Macaca fascicularis: one gene and its partner. The protein of the gene in region 1 binds, or shares a complex with, the protein of each later gene. Links are inferred from orthologs where the notes say so. Each region holds a gene or a part of one and is shown in the gene's direction. Other genes may lie near its edges.

The links. Proteins that work in one complex are often made in the same cells at the same time.
Region 2: the proteins of PTPN3 (region 1) and MAPK12 are in contact, whole or in part, in a crystal structure (PDB 4QUM), measured with the Homo sapiens proteins. The link is inferred for Macaca fascicularis from reciprocal best matches to the Homo sapiens genes PTPN3 and MAPK12. Residues at the interface, in NP_002820.3 of Homo sapiens: Arg655, Leu671, Asn674, Arg675, Tyr676, Lys677, Asp678, Val679, Arg751, His812, Ser843, Ala844, Gly845, Ile846, Gly847, Arg848, Met883, Gln886, Thr887; in NP_002960.2 of Homo sapiens: Met182, Thr183, Gly184, Tyr185, Val186, Val187, Arg189.

The regions. Positions count from the first base shown.
Region 1 is NC_088389.1:48,705,766-48,712,768, forward strand, and holds part of PTPN3 (tyrosine-protein phosphatase non-receptor type 3), read left to right. Parts: coding exon 1-62; intron 63-213; coding exon 214-291; intron 292-1,792; coding exon 1,793-1,849; intron 1,850-3,543; coding exon 3,544-3,700; intron 3,701-5,562; coding exon 5,563-5,723; intron 5,724-7,003.
Region 2 is NC_088384.1:1,293,021-1,300,701, forward strand, and holds the start of MAPK12 (mitogen-activated protein kinase 12), read left to right. Parts: upstream 1-3,201; 5' UTR 3,202-3,369; coding exon 3,370-3,494; intron 3,495-3,573; coding exon 3,574-3,703; intron 3,704-6,775; coding exon 6,776-6,834; intron 6,835-7,681. UniProt on the Homo sapiens protein: Serine/threonine kinase which acts as an essential component of the MAP kinase signal transduction pathway.

The DNA.
Region 1 (7,003 bases):
ACTTCCACAGGGTGACCAAAGGGGGCTCCACCGAGGATACCAGCCAGTACTACTGTGACAAGGTGAGCGAGCGCAGGCAGCCGGGTGACCCACCCGGCCAGGGCTTCCAGACCCCTTGTGGGCAGCTGAGTAGCTCTGACTAAATGAAAATATCTTATCACCAACTGCTGGAGAGAAATGTAATGTAAATGACCACTTTCAAACGTTTTCCAGAATGATAATGGTGACGGCTACTTAGTCTTGATCCGTATCACACCAGATGAAGATGGAAAATTTGGATTTAATCTTAAGGTACGTTGTGTATTTATAAAGGAAGTTTTGTGCTGTGAAGCAGTCTTTCCATGAGTTTTTAATTTGCATTAGAAATGTGCTGCATTCCCGAGTTGCATAAGGAAATTGATTCAACCCTCAGAATTGAGAGTTGGGGAGTTTTTTTGTTTTTGTTTAGTTTGAGTTTTTTGGCTTTTCTTTTCTTTTTTTTTTTTTTTTTTTTGAGAAAAAAACTCACTCTATCGCCCAAACCTAGAGTGCAGTGGCACGATCGCAGCTCACTGCAGCGCTGACCTCCCCAGGCTCGGGTGATCCTCCCACCTCAGCTAGGGCTATCAGAATGCACCACCATACCCAGCTAATATTTTTCATATTTTTTGTAGATATGGGGTTTCACCATGTTGTCCAAGTTGGTCTCAGACTCCTGGCCTCAAGCAGTCTACTCGGTTTGGCCTTCCCAAGTGCTGGGATTACAGGTGTGAACCACTGTGCCCAGCCTAGAATTGAGAGGTTTTTTTTAATGTGGCCTTAACAGCTGTCAAAGGCCAAGTGCCGGCTCTGTGCCTGGCATTGGCTATGCACTAGATTCATAGCACCTTCTTAAGTTCTGATAATAAGTGGTAAGGTCAGTATTTTTAAACCCATTTTGCAAATGAATACTGAGGTTCCAAGAGATGAGGGCACACACTTGGCAAACAGATCTACCCACTTCAGGAATGCTATTAAGAGAACCCCTCAGCATTGCTGAAGCTGATAAGAGAAAACAATTCAAGTTCAACCTGCAGGGCCACCACTCTCCTCCAGGCACGTTTAAGCAGGATCTGCAAACTAAACTCATAGGCCAAATCCCATCTGTTTCTGTAACTAGTTTTTTTGGTAACAGCCACACCTATTTGTTTACTGGTGGGTTAATGACTGCAGAGTTGAGCAGTTGCATCAGACCCCTCACTCCCACAAAGCCTCTCTGGCCCTTTACAGGAAACGTGTACTCACCCCTGCTCTAGGACAAAGTGAGGGCAGGTGGTCCCCTACCCCCCAGCTGCCATCGCGCACACCCTCATCTGCCCCAGCAGCTGTGTTGAGGACCAGCGCTCACAGCCAGATGCGCTCACAGGGTGCGCCCCTTTCCCAGGCCTTGCTCACCTCTGCTGAAAGCCCCCTTTTCTAGCAGCACTCGGAAGACATGCTGTGGAGTCCCTCTCCTGGGGGCGTCTGCGTTTTTAAGGAGGAGCTTGCTCTCTCTGAGTGCATCTTTTAGTTCATGAACTGTGGGGATGGCAGAGGGAGGCTTCTGAACAGAGTCCTGGTCAGCCCGCTGGATCGAGGGGTCAGGAATTTGTTCCGTATTTCTGAAATGACGTGTGATTCTAATCAGCGATAGTGAAGTTTGAAGCCTCGCTGTACCAAAGACTCACATTTATTGGTACCTCCATGTTGTTGATGCTGTGGCTACTCCAGTGTTTGTTTGTTTTTTTTTAACTTAAAAAACATTGTTTTTTTTTTTACTTTAAAATGTTTACAGGGAGGAGTGGATCAAAAGATGCCTCTTGTGGTATCAAGGATAAACCCAGAGTCACCTGTAAGTAAATACATTCCATGTTATTCCTCATGTTTGTTCTCCCCTAATTCTAACAGGTTTCTGTTTCTGTGTCCCATTTCTTTTTCTGCCAGAGCAAAGAACGTGCTTAGATACACCATGTTTTCTAGAACCTTGCTGCTCACTGTGCTCTTTGAAGCCATAGCACCCGTGTTACCTGGGACTTCATTAGAAATGCAGGCTCTCTGGCCCCATCTTAGGCCTGCTGAACCGGAATCTGCATTTTTAACAAGAGCCTTGAGTGGCTGGTGTGCACATTAAATTTTCGGAAGTCCTTTTCAAGAGAAGGAAACTCAGGCAGTCTGCTGTCCTGCTCACTCTAAGTGGGCACGTGGGCCCTGTGCCTCTTCTCACCATCTTTCCACCAGTGCCCCTTTCATCCTCTGTTTAGGCCTCCTAAGAAGAGCATTTGCTTTGTTTTTCTTTCAAATTTATTTTATTGTTTTTAGGCCAGACATAGTGGCTCACACCTGTAATCCCAGCACTTTGGGAGGCCGAGGCGGGTAAATCACTTGAGGCCAAGAGTTTGAGACCAGCCTGCCTGGCCAACAGGGTGAAACCCCGTCTCTACAAAAAATACAAAAAGTGTCTGGGCGTGGTGGCGCACAGGTGTGATCCCAGCTACTCGGGAGGCTGAGGCAGGAGAATTCCTTGAACCCAGGAGGCAGAGGTTGCAGTGAGCTGAGATCACGCTGCTGCAGTCCAGTCTGGGCGACAGAGTGAGACTCTGTCTCAAAAATAAAATAAAATAAATTTATTTGATTGTTTTTAAAATAATGATAAGTAATTTTTTCCTTTAATTTTTTTGTTGTGCATACTCAAGGTATACAACATGACGTCTTGTTATACATATAGTACTGCAGTCAAACAAATTAACATGTTCATCACTTTCCATAGTTAACCTTTCTTTTCTTTTTTGAGAGACAGGGTCTCGCTCCGTTGCCCAGGCTGGAATGCAATGGTGCGATCATTGCAGCCTCAAACTAGGCTCAAGCAATCCTCCTGCCTCAACCTCCCAAGTAGCTGGGACCACAGATGTGTGCCACCTCACCTGGCTCCATAGTTACCTTTTAATCATCTGCTTTTTTAAAGCAGTAGGAGTCACTGTGCCTCCTTACAGTGAGCCATGTTGGGATTACTCTGAAGTAGTCCTTAAGCTCTTGTCATTTAACTTTTGTTACTGTTTATGGTTTCTGTAAATTCAGAAGGCTTTCTTTCCTGTGCTGTTCAGTACCTTACTTCTCTCCATAATGGTTTTTGCCTCTGCTGTGAAGCTTACAAAAGCTTTCACCTTTGCAAGACAGATAAATACTCACCTCTAGCTGGCAAATCATTTCCTAACCGTACATCTAGGAAACAAAAGGCTGGAAATGGTATAGTTATATTATAATAAGTGAAGGTTGACTACCACAGAGGAATGGCATCAGCAGTTTTTATAGCCTTATTCTGAAATGTTTTATAACTTATATTCTGAGCAGTACTTCTTTATATCGTGCAACCAACTACCATGTCCACATAGCAGTAGATGTATTATAAAAACAATGACAGTACTACCCGAGGGAGAGAAGGCAAACTTGATCGTGGTCTCAGGTGTCTGGGAGCAGAGCAAGTCATGGTTCTTCCCCCGAGGACTGTGTTATGGTAACAGGAGAAATTTGCTTTTCCCCTCCACCCAGGCGGACACCTGCATTCCTAAGCTGAACGAAGGGGATCAAATCGTGTTAATCAATGGCCGGGACATCTCAGAACACACCCATGACCAAGTGGTGATGTTCATCAAAGCCAGCCGGGAGTCCCACTCACGGGAGCTGGCCCTGGTGATCAGGAGGAGAGGTAATGGCCACCTGGGGGGCGGAGCCATAGGGACACTGCCCTAGCAAAGCCACGCCTGCTCCAGCCCTTTATCTGCTCTTGAAAATGTTGAGGTTGTAGCCAACATTTGAAAATCAAGAATCTTCAGGTAATAACCCAATGTTTGGCTTCTCACTTGAAAAATGTGAAGATCTGCCCACATGAGCCTGTCCCCATGTGGCCAGTCTTCTGGAGGGAGGCAGCGCCCACCCACCCTCTTTATACAGGACATGAGCCCCTGGCTCCCAATTCCTCCCAGGCCCAACGCAGCCCACGTCACGCAGTCCCTAAGCGGCACGACCCTGCAGACATTTGCATTTTCAGCCCCTTCCCAAATGATCGGGTGATATTTTATTCATGCATGTTTGATTTTGTCGGGGAGGCAGTGAGGAGAGCAGAGCCTGACTGTCTCAGGTGATTCCTCACTCTGCCTCTGCGGGCTAGGGACCTTGCAGGAGTTACATAACCATTCTGTGGTTCAGCTGGCTCAGGTGTGGAGGAGGACAGGAGTGGTCCCGACTTCACAGGGTTGTTGTGAAGATTAAATGACACTTGGGGCTGGGCACAGTGGCTCACACCTGTAATCCCAGCACTTTAGAAGGCCGAGGCGGTTGTATCACCCAAGGTCAGGAGTTCGAGACCAACTTGACCAACATGGTGAAACCCCATCTCTGCCAAAAATACAATAGCCAGGTGTGGTGCCGTGTGGGTATAGTCCCAGCTACTCAGGAGACTGAGGCAGGAGAATCACTTGAATCCAGGAAGTGGAGGTTACAGTGCGCTAAGATCGTGCCACTGCACTCCAGCCTGGGTGACAGAGCGAGACTCCATCTCAATCAAGCAATCAATCAATCAATCAATGGCACTTAGACTGGAAAGTACCTGCATTGCTGCCTGATGGGAGCAGAGGTTTGAAGGACAGCCCCTACTGAGCATCACAATGTTGTCTTTATAGTTGTTGTTATAAAATAATACATCAAGTTCCTTGAACACCCTGCACAACTGTAAAATACTGAAAGTAAATGAAGGTTGTAGCTGCAAAGCCCTGGCCCTGTGTCTCTGCCTTCCTAGCACATGTGGCTCACACCCCACACTGCTGCGCTCCTGCCTCAGCTCTGCTCCCACTACAACTCTCAGTCCAGAGCCACTAGGACCAGCTCTGACCCTACCTCCTCCGTGAGGCCTTATTGGATCTCTCCGGATCCCCACCTGTGCAAGGTGGGAGGTGGGGGGGGGGTCCTAGCTTTGCTTTCACCTGTATTGAATTTAACATGAAGGGAGAATGTGCACTAAAGAGGTAGGGCTGAAGCACAGAAGAGATGCTAGGACTACAGTATTTACGTAGGAGCCTCCCACACAGAAATGGCCCTGAGTTAGGGATTGCGCTCTCAGGAATGATGGTGTCACAGGGAAAGCCTTTGACCTCACCCTCATGCCTGGGGAAATGCCCAGTTTTGGGAAGTAAATGAAAAAACCTGAGAAAGAAAGGGGAGTCGGGATGGGTAGAAGAATAACCAGGTCAGAAAGAGCAAGCAGAGACAATATGCTTTTTAAAAAAACACTCTTTCCCTTTCCTTTACCTTTGACAAAAACCTCTGGGTGCTAAACACCATTATTTAAAACTAACCAGGAAGATTAGCATGTCATTTTATGTAATTAACACATATTGAATCATTCACCTAGAAGTAGTATCTTTGGTGCAAATGATTACCGTGTAGCTTAATCATTTAATAAGATGTTTTCAACCATCTGCATTCAGGTGTCATAGGTGTGATTTGTTTGAGGAAAACTGATAAACCCGGGTGCTGCTGCACAAGTCAGATGCCCTGTCTTGTACATTACAGCTGTCCGCTCATTCGCTGACTTCAAGTCTGAAGATGAACTGAACCAGCTTTTCCCCGAGGCCATTTTCCCCATGTGTCCAGAGGGTGGGGACACTTTGGAGGGGTCCATGGCACAACTAAAGAAGGGCCTCGAAAGCGGGACGGTGCTGATCCAGTTTGAGGTAAGACCCTCTGGAGGCTGAATCCCAAGGCCTGGGCCACTGCCGTGTCGCCTGTGAGGCTGTCCCTGCCTCTGAGCAGCAGAGGAAATGAGGCAGAGACACAAGCCCTCATTTCCTCGGCCGAGGTGATTGTGTGTTTCACAAACCAAAAACAGTCAACTGAGTCTCTGTGAGGACTGACAGGGCGAGGCCTGTGCTTGTCATGGATAACAGAGCACAGCAGGCAGCACCACCTCAGGCTCGGAGCAGCAAGCAGGGATCAGGATGGCCACCCTCGCTGAACTCTGTCTCACCCTCTTATTCTAGTAACATTTGGTAGTCATGGAGAAACATGCCAGAAACTGAGGAGGAGGGACTCTGAGCGTATTTAGCTGCCAACACAAAAGCTCAAAACTCCCAGCAGTAGAAGGCAGTGGAGAGACAGTTGTGGGTGAGCAGCCCAGGGTGGGTGAAGGAGCCAGCTCTCTGACCACCCCCAGCCGTGCACTGGAATTTGGAGCAATTAGTGTCATCCCATGAGGGCACAGTGTCTTGCCCTCCCAGTTTGCCCAGAACCCTATAAACACAAGAAACCAAACTCAAACGCCTGTCTTTCCCAGGGGAACCTGTGATCCCTAGGATTCAGGCTGTTGACAAAGGTACACACAGACATTTTTTATAAAACAAAAGGGAACCAAAGGAGACTCAGCTTTTAAGCCAGTTTTACTGATTACTAACAGAATTAAAATAGAATGTGTTCATCTTCCAAATTTATTTTCTTATTTTTATTTTTTAAATATGTTGTTGTTGTTGTTGTTTAAAATAGAGGTAGGGTCTCACTATGTTGCCCAGGCCGGTCGTGAACTCCTGGACCCAAGGAGTCCTCCCGCCTCGGCCTTCCAAAATGCTGAAGTTACAGGCGTGAGCCACCACACCCAGCCCATCTCCCTAATTTATTTGAAAGTAGAAGAAAACAGAGTAATTCCTGTAATAAAAGAATACCAAAAAGCATAAAATAGGTCAACAAAAGAAAATAGATCATCATTAGAAATAACAACAGTCTGGGTTCATAAATTCAGGAAGAGAGTCTCACATGGGACTCAAGAACAGAAATCAACAATGCATTATTTATTAGAAAACCACATAAAGGAAAAAGAAGCAAAACCCGGACATTTGTGAAATGTGTGTGACTGCAGAGTAATTCAGGAAGGCTTGAGTAATAGGAATGCTGAAAACGAAGGAATGCAAAGCAGAGAGCTGTGAGTGAAAGGTTGATTTTATGATGCATGTGAAAATAAATT
Region 2 (7,681 bases), on another chromosome or scaffold:
GCACCCTTCCACAGCTGGTCCGATTTCCTCAAGAGGCACCTCCCACATTCCTATGGTCACTGACTCCTGGCCTAGGACCCCTCGCCTTCAGGATAATCTACACACATGTATGCATGCACAAACATGTGTGTACATGTGCTTGCCATGTGTAGGAGTCTGGGCACAAGTGTCCCTGGGCCTACCTTGGTCCTCCTGCTCCCTTCTGGCTACTGCGCTCTCCATTGGGACCTGACTGTGGGGTCCTGGATGCCAAAAGGGCACCCCTGCGGAGTTCCCCTGTCTGTCCCAGGCTGACCCATTGGGGAGCGTCAACCTTGGGGTCTCTTCTGTCCCAGGGCTCTCTGGAGGACACGCTGGGGCCGGGACCCTGGGAGACTCAAAGGGAGAGGTCTCAGTGGTTAGAGCTGCTCAGCCTGGAAGTAGGGGGCTGTCCTGGTCAGTGCTGAGACCCACAGGTCTAAGAGGAGTGGCAGAGCCAGTGTGCCACCAGGCTGGGCACGGACAACCACCAGGTGTCAAATGAGAAAAGCTGCCTGGAGCCTTGTGTTCACCCGTGGGTGTGTGTGGGCACATGTGGATGAGCGTGCACTCCTCGTGTTCATATGTCAGGGCACATGTGATATGGTGCATGTGAATCTGTGGGCGCCTAAGGGCCAGCAGCCATGCCTGGCAAGAAGCTGGCGCTGGGGCGGGCGTGCTGTTGCCTTCCCTCTCCTCAGTTCCTGATGCTGTGAGGGGTGTTTCAGACTGGGGGCTCCAGTGGGCGAAAGGGCAGCCACATGAGCGCCAGCACGGGCTTTCTCCTCGGATATGTGACCCGCAGCAGGCTCCTGAGGCTGGGGGTGACTGGGTGGTTTGGCCTTGGGACGCTAAGGCAGGTAGCACACGCGGGTGTGGACTTGGACTCGGACACTTGTGCGCCGCACCCTGGCCCGCTCTCTACCTCTGCCCACCGTTGTGGCCCTGCAGCCGGAGATCTGAGGTGCTCTGGTCTGCGGGTCAGTCCTCTTTCCTTGTCCCAGGATGGAGCTGATCCAGTAACCTCGGAGACGGGACCCTGCCCAGAGCTGAGTTGGGGGTATGGCTCTGCCCTGGAAAGGGGGTGACCTCTTGCCTCGAGGGGCCCAGGGAAGCCTGGGTGTCAAGTGCCTGCACCAGGGGTGCACAATAAAGGGGGTTCTCTCGCTCGGTTCATATCCAAAGGCCACTCCAGGTCCTGCTGCCCCCGCCATCCCCACTGCTGGGCATGGGGGGAGTGTCTGGGTCACTCTGCATCACTCACCTCTAGCTGGCCAGATCCCTCAGGCCCCCAGTCAGACCAGTGGCCATCTTCTGGCACCCTCCCTGCTCCCTGGAGGGTCTGAGCCCAGGGGGACCAGGGGAGGACACGGCTGATGGGTGGGCTCTGAGGGCACAGGGTGGGACGGCCACCCAGATGGTGACCCCAGCTGCCCTGTGGGGATGTACTGGGCAGGCTTGGCTTTGGGCCAAGATCCAGACACCACCTCCCTACCCCTCAGTGGTCAGGGAAGCTGGCTGGGGGGAAGTTGGGTGTCAAGGGAGCAAGGGTCTGCCCATCCCTGGGCGGGGGCTGGGTGGGCTAGGGAAAATAGCTTTCCTTTCCTTCCTGGTGAAGGAAAAAGAGGCCACTTTAACCCAGAGAATGTGTGTGCTGGTCCCGTTCCCACTATGCTCTGCAGCTTACGTGTGGGGGAGGGGCCAGACCATTTGGGGTCAGGCAGTGTCTCTAGGGGCCAGGGACAGTCTGTGCCCTTGCTTGGGTCTTGGGTAGGGGTGGAAACTGTCTGGGAGTTGGGGGCCCTCCTGGGGCCTCATCAGTGTAGTGGTCAGTCCTGGGGGAAGTCCAGTGTTGGCGGTTGGGGGTGGGAGCAGAATGGGGACACAGCCCCACCTCAGAAGCCTGGTCTGTGCGGGGCCTTCTGGACCCCTGAGCTCCACCACGGGGAGTTAAGGGGGACAGCAGTGGCAGCTGGGCTTCCTGAAAGAGGTAGATGGAGTGCCACAGGCAGCCCAGGGCACAAAGGGTGCAGGCCACAGGCAGCTGTGGTTTGGGCAGCCCCGGGCTGCCCCTGCTCACTGGGCACGAGCTGATGAATGCCACGGAACACAGCCCAAAGCCCAGGTGTAAAGCTCCTCCCGCCCTTGAGCGGCTGAGCTGCTGATTCATGGCCGGAGGGCGGGGCAGAGGGCCCTAGCGATCCTGTTACCCACCAGCCCAGTGGGCTCCCGGGGTGCACCCACATCCCTCCTCAGACCCAGGTTTCTGGACTGTGGAGGGGGTGTCAGGGTGGGGCTTGGCCCACCAGAGCATCTGGTCTAGGATGGGGCCAGACATATGGGAGGATAACGCCCACACAGAGGGGTCAGGCTGAGGGCCCCAGCAGGTCCCCATCCCTGCTGGAGACAGTGCAGCCACCCTCAGCCTGGGTTTTGCAGGACAGGACAGGCAGGGATGGGACGGGCAGGGGCACCAGCACTTGCAACACTTGCAGCAGTCACCCCGCAGATGGGGGGAGCAGGGGGAGGAGTTGGGTGTCCAAAAGGGCCCTCGGGTACCTATGGGACTGAGAGGCCCGGGGTCAGTGGCCACAGGGGTGGGGTTGGGGATGCAGCCTGAGGATTTTGGGAGACAGACCCCTCCGTGTAGAAAGAGGGATACAGGCAAGACAGGTGCAGATGGACCCCCCATTCGGGGATGGATGGATCAGGCGCAGAGGTAGGGCATCCTTGGGGGTGGCGTGGGAAGTTGACTCTAGGTACACAGGGCTCAGCCCAACTTGGGACTGCCGATAGAAGTCAGCGCTCAGGCTGTCAAGGATGGGCCCTGCGCCCTGGAACCATGGGCAGTCAGGACTGGAGCCCAGGGTCTCCGCAGGAGCTCCCCACTCTCCCGGCTCCACCCCCAGAGCGGGGCAGTTCAGCCAAAGGGGAGAGGCTGACGGGGGTATCTCCGCGCCGCGTCCGGCCCTAGGTCGGGACAAAGCTGCGGGGCGGCGCTCCCCTCCCCCTGCGCTTCCCCCCAGGCTCCGGCCCTCCCCCGGCGGCGGCCGCCTCGGGTTTCCGGAGGGGCCGGAGGGCGGGCGAGGGCGTCACGTGCGCGCCGCCCGCGGGCCGGTTGGTCCCCGGGCGGGGGAGGGGCCGTGCGCTGCCTGGGTCGGGGTCGGGCCAGGGTCGGCACCTGGGACATCCCCGAGGGAAGGGCCGGGAACAGGAGCGTCCCAGCGGCGGGCGGGCGAGCAGCGCAGAGTCGGCCCGGGGCGCACGCCGAGGAAGCCCCGCCGATCCCAGGTCCCCGGTCCTGGGGCACCGCCCGCGGGCTCTGCGGGGTGGGCGGCTCCCGGGCCTGCCATGAGCTCTCCGCCGCCTGCCCGCAGTGGCTTTTACCGCCAGGAGGTGACTAAGACGGCCTGGGAGGTGCGCGCCGTGTACCGGGACCTGCAGCCCGTGGGCTCGGGCGCCTATGGCGCGGTGTGGTGAGCGCGGGGCGGCCGGCGGGGCGGGCGGGGCCTGCGCGGGGTGCCCGGCCTTCCCGCTAAGCGGTCCGCCCCGCAGCTCGGCCGTGGACAGCCGCACCGGCGCTAAGGTGGCCATCAAGAAGCTGTACCGGCCCTTCCAGTCGGAGCTGTTCGCCAAGCGCGCCTACCGCGAGCTGCGCCTGCTCAAGCACATGCGCCACGAGAACGTGAGTCGCGCGACCCCGCTCCGGGAAGGCGCCCCGGCCTCGGCTGGGTTCGGCTGGGCTGGGTCCCTCCACCCGGCAACTCCTTCCCCAGGCAACCTGCTGTGGGGCGGGGCGGGGGTCGGGCCGTGGGCCCCCAGGGGAGAAGGAGAGCAAGGAGACGACTCCCCCAAGGGCCATTCCCCCTCCTCTGCCAGGCCCGGGAAAGAGCCCCTTGACTTGGCGTCTCAGCCAGGCCCTGGTCAGGGGACACGACTTGGCCAGGCCCAGGGGATCCTCCAGGTCTCACGCCAAACCCTGCCCCCAGCCAGGAAGCCCGCGGTGAGAGGATGCTCCCGGCAGGAGGATTTTCCTGGAAGGGGCACCTTCTCTTTCCCATCCGGGCCCCTCTCCAGCCCCTCTGTGGAGCCCACTTTGTTGCTGTCCATCTCCCTAGTCTTCCGACCCGGTGGAGGGGGAGGAGGGGGGCGCCAGAACGTAGGGAGTATGGTGAACCCTGGGGGTGAGTGAAGGGTTCAGGGAGCTGCTGTTTGGGGGGCACTGGGCGTGGTGGTCATCTCACAGACACCCTCCCTTTCGTTGTGGGGGCCCATCCTTTCCAGTCCTGCCTGTGAGATGCCATGCACAGCTGCCCTGGGCCTCTCCCACGGCGTGGCTGGCTGCGAAGAGCCTGACTTCTCTGCCAGGGGCCCTCTGGTTTCTGGACACAGTCCCACTTGTCCACTGCCCCCCATGTCACTCCTGCCCTGCCCCTGGTCTGGGCCCAGCCTGAAGGCAGGTGGTCTGGGCACCCGGACCCTAGCTCCAGTGTGAGATGCTCTGGACCCTCCTGGGTCATCCGAGCCACCGGTGCCCTGGGAGAATGAGTCCCTGCGTCCACCAGCAAACCACCTGCCCCCTGGTTCCTGGCCACCGCCACTCTCTCAGCCCCTTGGGTGGGTCCTTTTCTCTGAGGCTTCCCATAGCCCACCCTGACCCCAGCTCACCACCCCGGGCCCTGTGAAATCTGTTTGCAGTGGACACCAACCTTGCCCCCACCTCGACACCCCCGTCACACCCGGCCCTGCCCCCACCTTGCCACCACTGCACTCCCCCATCCCGCCCGTCACACCAAGACCTTGCCCCAGGACTGTAGCCTTCCCCTCGGCCCCCTGCCCCCACCCACCCACTCACTCACCTGCTTGGGCCTTGCCCCATCCAGCCAAGCGCTCTGGGGCTTTTCTTTCTTCTTTTTTTTTTTTTCTTTTGAGATGGAGTTTCGCTCTTGTTGCCCAGGCTGGAGTGCAATGGCATGATCTCGGCTCACCACAATCTTTGCCTCCTGGGTTCAAGTGATTCTCCTGCCTCAGCCTCCTGAGTAGCTGGGATTACAGGTCCATGCCACCATGCCTGGCTAATGCTTTGTATTTTTAGTAGAGACGGTGTTTCATTATTTTGGGCAGACTGGTCTCAAACCCCTGACCTCAAGTGATCCGCCTGCCTCGGCCTCCCAAAGTGCTGAGATTACAGGCCTGAACCACCGCGCCCGTCCACTGGGGCTTCTCTTTTTTGAGATGGGGTCTCCCTCTGTCGCCTAGGCTGGAGTGCAATGGCGCGATCTGCGACCTCCACCTCCTGGGTTCACACAATTCTCCTGCCTCAGCCTCTCTAGTAGCTGTGACTCTAGGCACCCACCACCACACCCGGCTAACTTTTTGTATTTTTAGTAGAGACGGAGTTTCACTATGTTGGCCAGGCTGGTCTTGAACTCCTGACCTCGTGATCCGCCTGCCTTCGCCTCCCAAATTGCTGGGAGTGCAGCCGTGACCCACCGCGCTGGGCTTTTCTTTAGCCACCGCCCTGCTGTCCTGGGGTCCCCGCTGTGCCTGGGGGTCCACCCCCTGGGCTCCCGGCCTGCAGCTGAGGCTCCTTCCCTGGAACCCCATCTTCCTGGAAGACTGAAGCTCTGTGAGGCCACATGCCTTGCTCAGCGGGGGAGGAGGCTCTGCCACAGGCCCCAGTCCTGCCATCCCCATGCCACCTCCCTCTCCAGGCCAGCCCCCACACCACAGAGGCCAAGTCAAGTCCTATGGCCCCTAGCCCACAGGACACTGCTTTCCATCTTCTGCCAAAGCGCTCTCCTGGGCACCCTCCAGCTGTCGTGTCCACAGACCCCACTGCTCCCAGGCCTCCCTGGACGGGCCTCTGTTCCTTCTCCTCCTCCCTCCACATTCTTGCCCACGGCTCTGGCAGAGCTGTCCTTCCAGTTTAGGTCCATTCTTGCTTCACTCTGGCCAGTCCCTACACCACGGCCAGCAGGACGCGTTTAGCATCACACCCGTTTAAATCCTTCCCTTTCTCTTGGGATCAAAGCCAAACTTTCACCTGGTGTGTGCTGCCCTGCCGGCTCCCTCTGGCCTCTCCTCAGCCCCTCCCTGGCCTGGGCCTTGGCCACCTGGCCTCCCTCCCTGTGTTCCTCAAACTCTCCCAAGTGTTCTCCCTCTTGCCTTGGCCACTCTGCATGTGCCCTCTGCCGGGTGTCCTGCAGCCCACATGTCTACCTGTCCCTCCATCCTTGGCTGTGCAGAACTTCTCCGGGCCTCCCTGGGACCCTGTCACCCCAAAATGCTGAGGCAGCAGTTATCACATGACCTGTCCACTGTCCATCTCCCCAACCAGGGGTGCTGTGGGGACCAGGTCTGGCAGGTCATGGTGCTGTCCACCTGGGCCTCACCAGCAGAGGCCTGGCCTCTCCTCATAGCGCTATCCCTTCCCTGGGTGTCAGTCTGCTTGGTTGGGGAGAAGAGGGGAGAAAGGGGCAAGTGGCAGGAGCCCTTTGGATGGTTCAGAGCCAGCCCAGACTCCGGGTTGCCCTTCCCCCAGAAGATCCCGGCTGTCACCATCCAAAAATAACCTGTCTGTGGGTATGTGTGCCAGGGCTGGGCCACGCTGCCAGTGGGCAGAGCCAGGCCCTTTGGACAGTGGGGCATGACGACAGCTGCAGAGGGGGTTTCCTGCCCAGAGGGCTGTGCCACTCTTGGGGGGTGTCCCAGCCCGTGTCCTCCGCTGCACTCTCAACCCTACCTGGCCCCCCAGGTGATTGGGCTGCTGGATGTGTTCACTCCTGATGAGACCCTGGATGACTTCACAGACTTGTGAGTGCCGACCTGGGCTGGCTGCTGGGCACAAGGGGTGGTGGGCAGCTCTGGGCACTGGCTTCAGGTTCCAGTTTGGCATGGGGTTCTCTTCCTGTAGCCTGAGTGGGGGATGCACACTGCCAACCCCCCCCATACTACTCTGCCCCACACCCTCCCCCACATGGTCCTGAGACCCACAGCTGGGCAGAGCTGGGGCTGCTGCCTCCCTTCACGCCTGGCACCTGGGCTCTCCGGCACCGGAGGTGTGAACCTTGGACCTGACCATTTGTTAACAGGAAGGTCCCGTGCTGGGGACCCTGGCACCAAGTGTGTGGCCGGTAACTGGAGCTGCTGACCTTTCCCAGCAGGTGGGGGAGAAGCGGTAGGGAGGACCCACCCTGCCCTTGCCCTGCAGCCGACCACCCCGGGACTCACACCTTGTCAGCCAAGAGTGAAGGGCCAGGCTGAGGAAGGCCTGGAGAGGGTAGCAGATGCCTCCCGCCTGACTTGCAGAGGTCAAGGACCCACGCTGGCCTCAGTGGCCTCTGGGGAGGTGCTAAATACCATTCTCCTGTGTCCGTCTCCACCGGCTCAGCCAGCCCCTCTGACCCAGATGCCTTGCCTTGCCCCCATCGCCCCCAGGCACCTCCCTCATCTCTGGCACAAAGTTCCGAGGTTGAAACCTGACTGCCTCCCTCCCCTGCCTGTGAAGACTCGAGCCCTGCAGCCTCAGCCCCAGCCTGGCACGCAGGGCGCTTTAGCAGAGGGTTCAAAAACCCCAAAGGGAGGCCGGGGCGGTGGCTCAAGCCTGTAATCCCAGCACTTTGGGAGGCCGAGACGGGCGGATCACGAGGTCAGGAGATCG